Arabidopsis thaliana: one gene and its partner. The protein of the gene in region 2 interacts with the protein of the main gene of each other region in a pairwise test. Each region holds a gene or a part of one and is shown on either strand. Other genes may lie near its edges.

Region 1 (5,782 bases), on a different chromosome or scaffold from region 2:
CTCGTACCAAAATATGCAAGTTTCTATTCCTGCAGATCTCATATTGAGCAGCAAAACATTGGGTTTATAGGAGGCGACGTCAAATTTAAAAGCCCTAAACGATTCCATAATTGGGAACTTCATATAAGCCGGACATATCACGTCGAACAAAAGATCGCAAACAAATATTTGTATATACAATTTAATTTAAAGATATAAATGTTTAATGTTTCAACTTTCAAGATGTAAAAAAGTGTTATCAGTTAGTTCGTGGTCGTACATGCGAAGGAGTGGCTAGCTACAACCGCCGCTCTTGGGTCAAAGTTTTCAATTCTTCAAACTAAACACAAAAAAAAAATGTTCGAGAAAAAGTTAATATACAAATTTTGAATGAATACTAAATTATATCATTATAAGATTAGTATAATTTCAGCGCACGGAAGTGTGAGGTTTCTGGTTAGTTAATAAAATAAATGAAACCCACCACATGCATGCGTAGCAGGAATTGGAGGAAATGTACTTAAACAAATGTAATTTTAATTTTATACTATATAGTCAAAACATAATCGTCTGTTTTAAAGATTTTGTCACCAGAGGCAAATCAGTTTAATTTATTTTTTACAAATAAGTAAGTTTATTGCTATCAAAACAAAAGTATATTATAAGAGACGAACAATAATGTAATGCGGCGTACCAAAACACTAGTTTTTGTAGTTTACGAATGTGTCCACGCCGCCATGTGCGCTAACGTTTCATCTCCAACAAAGAACCCAAAATATTTCTCGTTTAATGTTTGGAGAAAATATAAACTTGATGATTGTCTCTCAATAGACTTGAATCTGATCGTCTCTCAAATTATACTTAACTCGTACATTTTTATGGGATAAAATATGGCCAATTACATAGAACCCACAATATTCCAGTAACTAAAAAAAACAATTATCCACTCTCACCTTAAAATAAAGTGTGGGAGTGATCCAGACAAATATCAAAAACAATGGTTGATCAATAATCCAAAGTTCCAAACCTCGACCACTTATCCATCCTACATATCACATAGTCTGCATGTGACGTGATTTGGTTATAATATTTGCTTAATATCAATTTACATCGTTTTTGTATATTGCAGTCAAGTTAATATATCAAAGGAAATATGAATTAAATGCAAAGGTAATAAAATATAGTATGTATTAAAACAAATAAACTTGGGTCAATCCAAGTGCATGTGGAAGCTTGGATACATTCCCCATGGCCATGGGTTACTTACTAACACTTACTTGTTGAGTTCTAAGGATCTTCTCGTTTGATTTTCTCTTCTTAAGCATATATATTTTCATTAATGCTGCTATGCAGCAATGAGTTTACAGTATAATTGTTATGTCCTGTGAATTCTTTTAAGTATATATTTTGGTAAACTAATATAAAAAGTACTAGAGATCGAATCCATTTAATGAATCGGCATCGGGCAGTCTGTTTCCGCCCTCTTGCACCATGTTCATACGTAGTGACTGAAACTGTGAGGTTTAATTGGGATCAATCACTAACTCTTGTTCTTACAAAATACTCAACTATCTCATCGATTACTATCTTTTGTGTAATGCCTTTTTCTGAACCAACAATATCCATCTAGTAAATATACACATAATATTAACTAGACAGATTATTATAGGTCTGTACTAGAATTTGCTCACCCCCTTAGGAAAAGAGAAAAACTTTGTTACCTAATTACATTTCATCAGAGAGATTAAATTACTTTATGTCGTTCTTAATTCTTATTTTAAAACACGTAAAACTTAAAACTGTATTTTGTGCATTCAAATTTAGGCTTCAATGGCCATAAGCAGAAGTGATAAACTTGAATAATGTTGGGTATTAAATATATATAGCTTTTTCCGTACAACTTTTGTATAGTACGTGAATTCGTTAACGTTCCACACTTACACTCCAATTCTTTTTAAAAGAAACCTTTTGTAAAGATCTATGATACATGTGGAGCAGGAAAACATATGTTCTGTTAAAAACTTGCATTTTCACGTTATAAAAGCCAATTAAGAATAGATTTAACTCAACACGATATCATGCATGAGCAACTTTTTGGTCGATCGGATTTTAGTTAAGAGTTGGGCTGGAATGTTTTCATGTTCTAATACCAAACCGAATTTTAATTATGATGAGGTTATAAACTTATAATTCAACCATGTCCATGTCATATATGTGATGGTTTTAACCCAACCAACTTGAAATCTCGGATCGGAGCGGCCGTACCAAATTTGGTTCGGATCGATATTCAGAACACAGCTGACGAACTCTCAATGCCTTATCAGTTGGGCCTGAACCCAACGCAGTACTCCTACCAAGGGATACGACTCGGCCCATCATCGCTAATTACCAAACATGTAGATCAAATCGTCATTACCTTTTTTCTAACCCAACTAAAATCGTGATTACTTCAAACGACAAACGTAGAAAAGAAACACAAAACTAGCCACGTCATCGATCCTCCCAAGATTAAACCAATCAGAAGCGAGGACGCAGATCGCCAACGTCAGTATTCGCTCTCATAAGTCGAATCTTGACCGTCGAAAATGTGAAGATTGGACCACTTCTGTATTTCCTAATATTAACCGACTAAAACATTCACCTATATAATCATAATCACCTTTTACTATTCCCACACAATCATCAAGAAAACAAAACTCGCTTCCTGATAATCAAATCAAAAGCTTCTCTATCAAGCTTATCGAAAAGTCACATCTTTTGGAAGAAACAATGGCTCGTACCAAGCAAACCGCTAGGAAATCCACCGGAGGTAAAGCTCCCAGGAAGCAGCTTGCCACCAAGGTTTGTCCTTCTATCTTTCATTCATACCGAAATAGTAGATCTAGGGTTCAAATTTGGGTTGAATAACGAGTTTTTGTGGACGAAATCTGAAAAATATGATCTAGGTTTTCTATATTGTGTTGAATTTTTAGTTTATGATCTAATTTAGTATGAATCTTGCGGTTTTGATTTTGTTTATGATGAAATTGGTTGGAAGGGGATCTAGGGTTTATCTAATTTGAGTATTCGATTGCGTCTCTAACGAATTCTTCAATACAGGCGGCGAGGAAATCAGCACCAACCACCGGAGGAGTCAAGAAGCCTCACCGTTACCGTCCAGGAACCGTCGCTCTTCGTGAGATTCGTAAGTACCAGAAGAGTACTGAATTGTTGATCCGCAAGCTTCCCTTCCAGCGTCTCGTTCGGGAAATAGCTCAGGACTTCAAGGTAAAATTTATACTCATTAGCGGCGGATTAAAACTTATCAATTAGGTTATGTTATGGAATTAGGTATACTAATTAGGTTAAATTTTGCAGACGGATCTGAGGTTTCAGAGTCACGCGGTGTTAGCTCTTCAAGAGGCGGCTGAGGCATACCTAGTTGGACTTTTCGAGGATACTAATCTCTGCGCTATTCACGCCAAGAGGGTTACGATCATGCCTAAGGACATTCAATTGGCTAGAAGAATTCGTGGAGAACGTGCTTAAGCTTTTATTTACCTAATTCAAGTTTAGATTTTTACGATGATGTATTAGTATTCTGGATTCTTGTTTCCTATCGCTCTTTTATTTGCTTACCAAGTACATGGTGTTAATTGTTGAACTTACAGCTCTTTTAAGCAAACAGTTATGAAATCTTTCCTTTCCGTTATTGGTTCTTGTTGATTTCTTTGCAAAATTCATTCACAAGTTGCACATAACCCAGAAAAAACTGACAATTTTGATACGAAGATGCATATGAATTTGATTGGATAGTGTGTATGAACGATTGGATAAAACCAACTTGCGATAAAGTTTAAATGTTGCCGCAAAATTCAGAATTATGCTCTTCTCTTTTTTTGAATTTAAAAGGCTTGTCGATGTCAATATGAGCTTCGTAACTTTGGTCTGAAAAACAGATAAGAAAGAGACATAAAAAAGCGTTTTTCTGTTTTAACAAAACAAATTACTTGGAGACAATATGGGCTACATTTTGTTTAAAATTTATTTATATGGGCCAGTTATTGGGCCTTTTAAAATTGTAGATTACATTTTCGTTAACTTGGTCATGTTCGAAAAACTCGGAGTCCTCACGTCAGCGCCGGCGAAATTCCGGTACTGCTCCGTCTTCTACGTGTATTGAAGGTGGGCGTTTCTTTAATAATGCCTGGTTTCTGTTCACAAGTCCAATGTATTTCTTAATTTCATTGAAATTTTACTGTGCCAATCATTGCGAATTCAAGTTGATTGTTGGTTCAGCTTTTTAAGTGTTTGCCGTAGAATTAATCGGATTATCAAAATGCTTGAATCTCCGAGCAAATGAAAAATGCTTTACTTAACTTTAGCTTTAAATATTCGTATCGTTTAGCAATGGTGTCAATTGCAAAATAAGAGAACACTGTAAAATTTCTCATTGCAATGAAAAGATGTCTTTTTTCTTATGGTCATTGCGTTGTAGGAGAAAACAGTGCATCATAAAGGATACGTTTTCACTTGCATTGATTAATTCTATTAATCTGCTGACATGTGGATGTAATTTGGTAGCAACCTGATACTGATCCATCAATATCGTTTTTTTCTTGCTGTGTGTTTCAGGAAAGTGTGACTGAGATTGAAGAGTATTGATGGGGTCAGAATTGTGGTATACATACAAGTAGATGAAAAATGGACCCAAGAGCTAATCAATGAGGTTTGGGTTCATTAGATTTTTATTCCACATGTGTTATTGTCTGCCTTGGTGTTTCTTCTTTGTTTTATTCATTAAGGTGTGTTTTCATTCCTTTTTTGGTTGCTTGTGGCCAATTTTGTATCTGAAAACAAACATGATGATCTGTCTTGTGCCTTATATGTTTACTGGGAAGAAAGTGTACATACTTCTACTTTGATTCTAGGTGAGGAGTTTGATAATCTGTATATTCAGATTCATATGCCAACATTTGGTATTGTCCAACGTTTGGTGTTGAGTGTAACTGTGTCAAATATTTATATTTCTTTATCAATCTATGAGTTATTTTGGCTTCTATGTTGCCCTTTAGTGATAGAGCACAATGGTAAATTCAGGTTGGCCATAATATCTTTGCCTGCTAGTATTCATAAACCTGTTCACAATCATGTGTTTTCTTAAATATTTGAAACACTGAAACTTCGTTCTCTGTGAAAGCTCATGAAACAGTTTTGATGTTTGTCATCTCAAGATGTGTAGAGTTGGAGTCAAGTCCATTAGAATTATGTGAAGTCCTTTTAAATTTGTGTCTTAGTCTTATAAGTCTTGACTCTTGTCCCACCTTTTGTGCATCATACGCACATGGTTGTTTGTACATTCTATTTATGTATATTTAGGTAGTGCATATAGATTCATTCTAAAGGCCAAAGACTAGTCACTCTTTGTCTAGTGTACACAAATTTCGGGTCTCACAAAGATTTCATTGGATTCTTGATTATTTCATGATTTGTTATTAGCTGCATTATTAGGATCATATGATGTATTAATTATGTTTTTTCTTCTGGACTCTTTGTTTCTTGTCATCATCACAACTAACAAGTTCTTATTTTATATTTGTTTTGCTTTCTTTGTGTGTCTTCTTAACTACTTTTCAATAAAAGAATGTTTTTCTTACTTTTAGGTTTCGCAACTCTGACTTTACAATAAGTCTTTTTTCTGGTTTCCATGACAACAAATCTTCCCATATATCTCAAGATAATCTCTTTCTTTCATACACTAAAAAGTTTCACTTCGTTTCTAGGAACTTCACTATCTCTTTTATGGTTGTTGGGTGTATACAGA
Region 2 (7,197 bases):
ATAGATTTGATATGTCATTAATATAATTTTGATATGAAAATGTTATCACTCAATATGAAGTGTGTAGAATTTAAATCGAGTTTATTATGATAACATAGATAGTTAAACTGTATTACAAAATTGAATGGTGTAAGATAGAAATTTGTTTTTTTTTTTTCTTTTCTAGATACTAAATGAAATATAGAATAATGGTCGGTTACTTTTTAGAATTCAAATATCATTGATAAGATTGAGTGTATATAATTAAAATAAAATGCATAAGACTGAAATTTTGTTTAAACCAAAAATTATTAAATTAAAGATCAGAAAAATATATAGATTGGTATACAATATTCAAATATTATCGATAAAAAAATATTTTTCTATCTTACACCCGTCTAAATAGGCGGACCTTATCTAGTATATATATATATATATATATATTTTGTAAACGATTGAGTAAAAAATGTTTGGAAAAATAAAATGAGTGACTTAAAAATGATTAGAATTGTTTTAATTCCTGATAGAGTTAGAGAAGATTTATACTTACCAAAACAAAAGTTAAAGAACATTTCTTATTTGGAAATATTTTTCCAGATTATCACCAAGTTTAAAACTATTTTTATAATAATATAATTTTAAAGAAAAAAACGAGTCTTCTCCATCTGAATGGCTGTGTTTCTCAATGTATTTGGACGAATTAGAGAACGATAAAAAAATATTCACAGATTTTTTAAAAATATTGAATCTCTTATAACGTAAATGTTAAAGCGGATAATTTGACAAGAAAGGTTCATATCCAACCGCATTATATCATATATGTAAACAAAATTGCTCAGAAATGACTATATTAAACTCTAACTAATATCGGTTGACAACAAAATAATCAAGTACTTGATTCCATCAATTGAAAATTTAAGATTTTGATTTAAACATTAAAGTAGAAAATCTAAATAGAATTAAAATAAATACTTATAAAGTTATAATGTAAACTTCTTTTGCTTTCTGATTTTAAATGGGCTCAGTCAAATCTTAATAATATTTATCTTTTCCAAGAGCTGTATAATGATACCAAGTTAGGTCAGAATGCCGACCACAATTATAAATGAAAATTTTCTAAATGTAAAAGCCATGTGAAATCAATATTTTACTCCATTTCTTTTTAAAAGAGAATAAAATAAAATAAAGTCGCGGAGGAAATGCACATCGAGCACATCACTCTAATTATTTTATTTAACAGAAAAGACTTATTTAAACATGGTAATGAAAAGAAAACATTAGACGATTAATATATGGTTCGTTCTTATCTAAACTCTGGTTATTTTATTAATCTTCATTTTTCTGCGAATTAGATTTGGATTTCTATTGGTCAATGACTCGATGCTTGGTGGTCCCAAATAAAATTGTATTAAAATAATTTTACGATTCATGATTGCTTCCATTTCCTGTAATTTAATTAAAATTTGTGTTCATCAAATATTTTATACAGATTGAGAGAATTAAATGAACTTTCATTATATTATTATTAGCTAAAAGAGCCAGAAAAAAAAAAACTGAAAAGAAAAGAATATCTAGAAATTGATTTTAGTAGGTCAACATTATTTATATTTAAGTAATCTAAAACTTGTAACTGAAAAACTACGGATTAGAGTTTATTACTGCTGTTTTCAAATGGGCATAAATTAGTTGGGTAAGCTATAATTGTGACGAAGACTTTGGGAAATGTAAAAGGAAAGAAATGAATGTAAAGCAAACACAAAACAATACTCCAACTAATTAAAAGGGTTTGCAAAATAAAAGCCCTTCGGATTTCCACAAATACACGAAAGAATATAAAATGGTACTGTAGTAAATTCTAACAATCAGATTGGAATTCAATTTTCAGAAAACAATTTTATCGAATTAAGTGTTTAAGCACCCACCAAGTATTCCATTTAATTACTAATTTGTTAGTACCATTTTTTTTGTTATGCACCAAATTAATTACAAAACTCTATAATCATCGACACAGTCGACCTGGTGATCTACAAAACTTTAACTTTTATTCCGGTATAGGTTTTAAAACATTGAGTAAAAGTGAACATGTATTAGGAGATTCATGTTCGTCGTAGATAAACTTGACCAACACTACATATTAGTATATTACCATCTCTTGACTCGTTACATGTTTAAACATTTCAATATACCTAGGTTTTTAACCCATCATCGATCACGTTTATGTCCTATTGTTTGTTCAGTGGAAAGAATTGGGCTCTATGTCTTACATTGAAAATTGAAAGAAATGGATAAATTGGGAGTTAGATTTAGATGTTGGTTCTTTTAAGTTATTATAGTTATGCGATTTAATACGTTTTTGCTGGCCTCATATATTGTTAGATGTTAAATTAATTTAAATTATTTCCATACTAAATGATTTATTTATCATTTTAGCAGCCTAGTTTTACTTGTCCTTTACTCCAAAGCCCGATTATTAATTAAGGAAAAAGTATTTTTCAACTGGAGAAATTGAATATTTATAAATAAAATAAAGCACACGTAAAGAAAATATATTTTATTATTTTTAAGAAAACAATATACGCAGGCCATCTTTGTCTTTCCCAAAAAAAATTTAATTGAATTTTGTATACCCACTTTAATTTTGTCTACTATACTATTTCTTATTTTATTATGTATATTTATTAATTCCCTCCCATCGGATTCCAGCTAAAAACACGAATATCTATATATTCCTAAATGAAAATTTAATATAAATCCAGTGCGAGCTATATTAAAATAATCACGCTATTAAAGATTTCCTTTTCGCATTATTGTATAAAAGTAAAAAAATGGACAGACATAAACAAATCTTACAATATAAAAAATCATTATATAAAAAGATAAAATACCTTATTTAATGACAAGATAAATAAACCATTTTTTATTTCTTCAATCTAATTCACAAAGCATAAATAAATCTAATTTCCTTCACTTTCCTCTCCAACATTTTCTTATTTTCCTTCCTAATTTCCAACCTCTGTTCTTAGCAATATATTTTTTCTCCAAAAATAATTCTCAGTTTGATTTTCTTCTTCTAGCTCTTAAGTATATTTCTTTGTTGTTATTTATCTTTTAATCCTTTAATCTCATCTTTGTTTATCTTTAATCAAAACCCAAAATTTACATGGGTTCTTGAAAATCTAGAAGAAATAAAGGAAACATAACAAAAATAGAAAGAAAAAGAAGCTAATGGTCTTAAATATGGAGTCTACCGGAGAAGCTGTTAGATCAACCACCGGTAACGACGGTGGTATTACGGTGGTTAGATCCGACGCGCCGTCAGATTTCCACGTAGCTCAAAGATCAGAAAGCTCAAACCAATCTCCCACCTCTGTCACTCCTCCTCCACCACAGCCATCGTCTCATCACACAGCTCCTCCGCCGCTGCAAATTTCGACGGTGACGACTACGACTACGACGGCCGCGATGGAAGGTATCTCCGGTGGACTGATGAAGAAGAAGCGTGGACGGCCAAGGAAGTATGGACCGGACGGGACTGTTGTAGCGTTATCTCCTAAACCGATTTCATCAGCGCCGGCGCCGTCGCATCTTCCGCCGCCGAGTTCACACGTCATCGATTTCTCCGCTTCTGAGAAACGTAGCAAAGTGAAACCAACGAACTCGTTTAACAGAACAAAGTATCATCACCAAGTTGAGAATTTGGGTAATTATATCTTCTTTGCTCTGTTTTCTTCTCTGTTTTTTAAGAAGAGTATTTAAGAAAGAACAAAAGATAAAACTATTTTTATCTTGTCGGAATCTTGTTTCGTAGACCAATCTAACTCTATTGACAAAAAAAAAAAAAAATTTGGGTCTGGGATCTCATTTTCATGCATGCTTAAGTAAGTGGGGTCTCTGTTTTGTTTCTATGTTTAATTTGTCTATGGTTATAGATGTGTCCTAAAGCTACAAGTATCTACACATATATGTCATGTTGTTAATTGTCACTTCTTAAATGCAATACTAAGCTTAATTTAGTAGCAGTTTTATAAGTTAAACATGTTGGTCAAAATTAGAGATTTTTGTTTTCTACTTGGCTACTTAAATTTAGGGACAACAAAGTACATGATTAGTCAATATTACAAATTAATTAATAAAAATGTTCCTCTTGTGTTCTGTTATGTGTAGGTGAATGGGCTCCTTGCTCCGTCGGTGGTAATTTCACACCTCATATAATCACAGTCAACACCGGCGAGGTAATCTCATCGGAATTTTTCTTTAGATCTAGACATCAAGTCCTTTTTTCTATCTTTTACAAGTTTTGAATGATGTATTTTGGCATAATTAGGATGTAACAATGAAGATAATCTCGTTTTCGCAACAAGGACCTCGCTCTATTTGTGTTCTGTCAGCAAACGGTGTTATTTCAAGCGTTACACTTCGTCAGCCAGATTCCTCTGGCGGCACATTGACATACGAAGTATGTAGATTTCATTCTCATCGATCGATCAAATTTTTGTTGAAAGTGTAAGATGATTTATAGTGTTAATTTTCAGGGTCGGTTTGAGATATTATCATTATCCGGGTCATTCATGCCTAATGATTCAGGCGGAACACGAAGTAGAACGGGAGGAATGAGTGTATCGTTAGCAAGTCCCGATGGACGTGTAGTAGGCGGTGGCCTCGCCGGTTTACTAGTAGCCGCGAGTCCGGTTCAGGTACGATATTTGCCAGTCCAAAAAGCTGCAAAGTTTGTTAACCGGAGGATTTAATTTCCTTGTGTTTGAAATCAACAGGTGGTTGTAGGAAGTTTTTTAGCGGGCACTGACCATCAAGATCAGAAACCGAAAAAGAACAAACATGATTTCATGTTGTCGAGTCCTACCGCTGCAATTCCTATCTCTAGTGCAGCTGATCACCGGACAATCCATTCGGTCTCGTCTCTTCCGGTCAATAATAATACATGGCAGACTTCTTTAGCTTCCGATCCAAGAAACAAGCATACCGATATTAATGTCAATGTAACTTGAAATCCAATCTTTCTCTGTATTTTCTGTTAACAAGTTTGATTTGGTTGTTTATCTACATTAGGATTTTACTAAAATGGTAGTATTATTTATAGGGTTTTAGGGTCTTTATTTTGGTTCCACTGTTGTCACTTGTAGGATAATTTCTATCTTTTTATTAGGATTGAATCATCTTGTTTCCTTAATTTTTTGCTAACGAGTCATGGTCCTGGTTTTGCATGTCATTGTAGTTTCATATCCGTGTAAAAGAATACAAATTAACCACACTTGACTTATCTGAACGCGTAACATGAAAGCTATGGAGACTAATTTTGGAGTTCTAGATTTCCATCTCTTAATGTACACCTAAGATGTTTCTTATGATGACACAAGAACCATTATCCCTGGAGAGAAAGAATCACTATCTCTATTTCGACAAACCATCAAAGATTCTATTGACATGATATCTACAACATCTATAGTTCGGTGCACACTGGACTTGCTTCACTTGTTTCAAGAGGCACAAGGTCATATAGGGAGATCTTAGCCTAGAACCTTAAAATCTAAGGATCAAGAGTTCCCAAACATGTTTCAAAACTATCATTCACACTTATCACAGAAACAAACCGTCGAGATTACTTCCGACTTTACCACTAATCTGACTTCAATTTCAATGTATCATACACAAGCTAGCTACCATAACGATATACAGGGATACTCACTACACAGCAAGTTTGTGAAAAAGTAATCTTTCATTGATGTGCATTAAATTTGTACTCAAAAAAATAAGAAAATATAACGTTTCTGAATATAGCCCATAACAAAAATGCTGAAACAGAAAAATGAAGAACTACATAAACATCTTCGTAGTCACCAAAATCCATTAGGAATTCGATCTTAAAATGTAAAATAAATTGATGTAGTCCGGTGGTTTCTCCAACCTTAGATGTCTCCTAATGCCGAGTGGATCAACCTTAAACCGAAAAGTATAGAGAAAAATAACAATTTGGATTTAGCTTCGTAAACAATGGAGATATGAAAATTAGTAGTGATATATATAAGAGAAAGAAATGTACCAATAGGTTGTGATAAAAATGGAGAGAGCTATATGACCAATCTTGTACACTCGTTTCTTTTGCTCCCATTTATTTGTGTTGTATAACTCTGTTACGTCTGCCAAATGTTCCCTCTTCATGTATCTTTAACCGGAAATAACGAAGAGACATTATCAAATTAAACCGAACTCGGTGAACCAAATTACCCGGTTGGTTTCGAGCAATGAACAAATGAATGAGTAAATTGTCTAATTTGAGTATTTGACTTACAGTCTAATGTTGTAGAAAAGGTGGGGAAGAGACAAAACCGCCATGAACCAATGTCCGGTTAGGATATAGTATAAGCAAAGAAGTCCTTGTAAACCAAATTCCGGTAGAACCATTCGGTTTATTCTGCTAGATACATCGTAAGGGTTTATGCGATCGAACTCTAAATCTGCCAAACATGTCAGCTGCATCAAAAACAAAAAAGCAAATATTCAAGAAAATTGCTAAGAGAATTATTTCTTTCTCTATGAATTGGTTTTAACCACAAAACTATATTAGGGAATTAATTATAAGTTAGGGCAAAAAACCTGATAAATAACGATGATTATAAGCGTTGCGAGGAATAAGAAAGAGATAATCCAATCGAGTAGATCGCCCATCCTCCGCTGTCTTCCGCCGCGTTACAACGTTCAATCTCCGCCTTGCTTTGTCTCTCTAACGTAGAAATACGGACGGTGTTTTTGGTCAAAGCTCTGGAAATTGTAGGTATATTTATCAGAAAATTATACGCAATATATAAGAGATTAATTTTTATAAAAACTATTAAAACCCCACTGGATCTGGTTGGATAAAAAGCTACTTATTTATTCATATGCAAATATGATATTCCCATTTAAAGCATATTCGGAAGTTTGACTTTGGCATGAAACTCTTAATCTTATTTGATATGGTTGACAAAAATATTTTTGTTTCTTTACGATGAAATGCTTTTCTATGCAAGTAACCAATCAATGATCGTGCCTATTGCCTATTGGTCAAAGAAATTACTATCTTTCATCCATAAGCTACTTATCAGTTAAAGTGTTAAATCTGCAGAAATAGAATCGATTCGAAATTCGGAAACCACCATCTTTTTTTTTTAATAAAGAAAACAAAGAAGCTAAAGTAATGTGAATACTACTCAAATTCAAATA

What was found. The genes of interacting proteins can lie anywhere in the genome.
Region 1: the proteins of AHL1 (region 2) and AT5G10980 interact in a two-hybrid assay, tested with the Arabidopsis thaliana proteins (one large-scale study listed by BioGRID).

Annotation. Positions count from the first base shown.
Region 1 is NC_003076.8:3,470,316-3,476,097, reverse strand, and holds AT5G10980 (Histone superfamily protein), read left to right. Parts: upstream 1-2,527; 5' UTR 2,528-2,748; coding exon 2,749-2,820; intron 2,821-3,078; coding exon 3,079-3,246; intron 3,247-3,336; coding exon 3,337-3,507; 3' UTR 3,508-3,693; downstream 3,694-5,782. UniProt on the Arabidopsis thaliana protein: Variant histone H3 which replaces conventional H3 in a wide range of nucleosomes in active genes. Constitutes the predominant form of histone H3 in non-dividing cells and is incorporated into chromatin independently of DNA synthesis.
Region 2 is NC_003075.7:7,236,262-7,243,458, forward strand, and holds AHL1 (AT-hook motif nuclear-localized protein 1), read left to right. Parts: upstream 1-2,938; 5' UTR 2,939-3,204; coding exon 3,205-3,679; intron 3,680-4,143; coding exon 4,144-4,211; intron 4,212-4,303; coding exon 4,304-4,435; intron 4,436-4,511; coding exon 4,512-4,673; intron 4,674-4,751; coding exon 4,752-4,985; 3' UTR 4,986-5,414; downstream 5,415-7,197. Other genes in the region: AT4G12090 (Cornichon family protein), read right to left, coding at 5,904-5,934, 6,038-6,160, 6,287-6,468, 6,592-6,663. UniProt on the Arabidopsis thaliana protein: Transcription factor that specifically binds AT-rich DNA sequences related to the nuclear matrix attachment regions (MARs). May play a function in the positioning of chromatin fibers within the nucleus.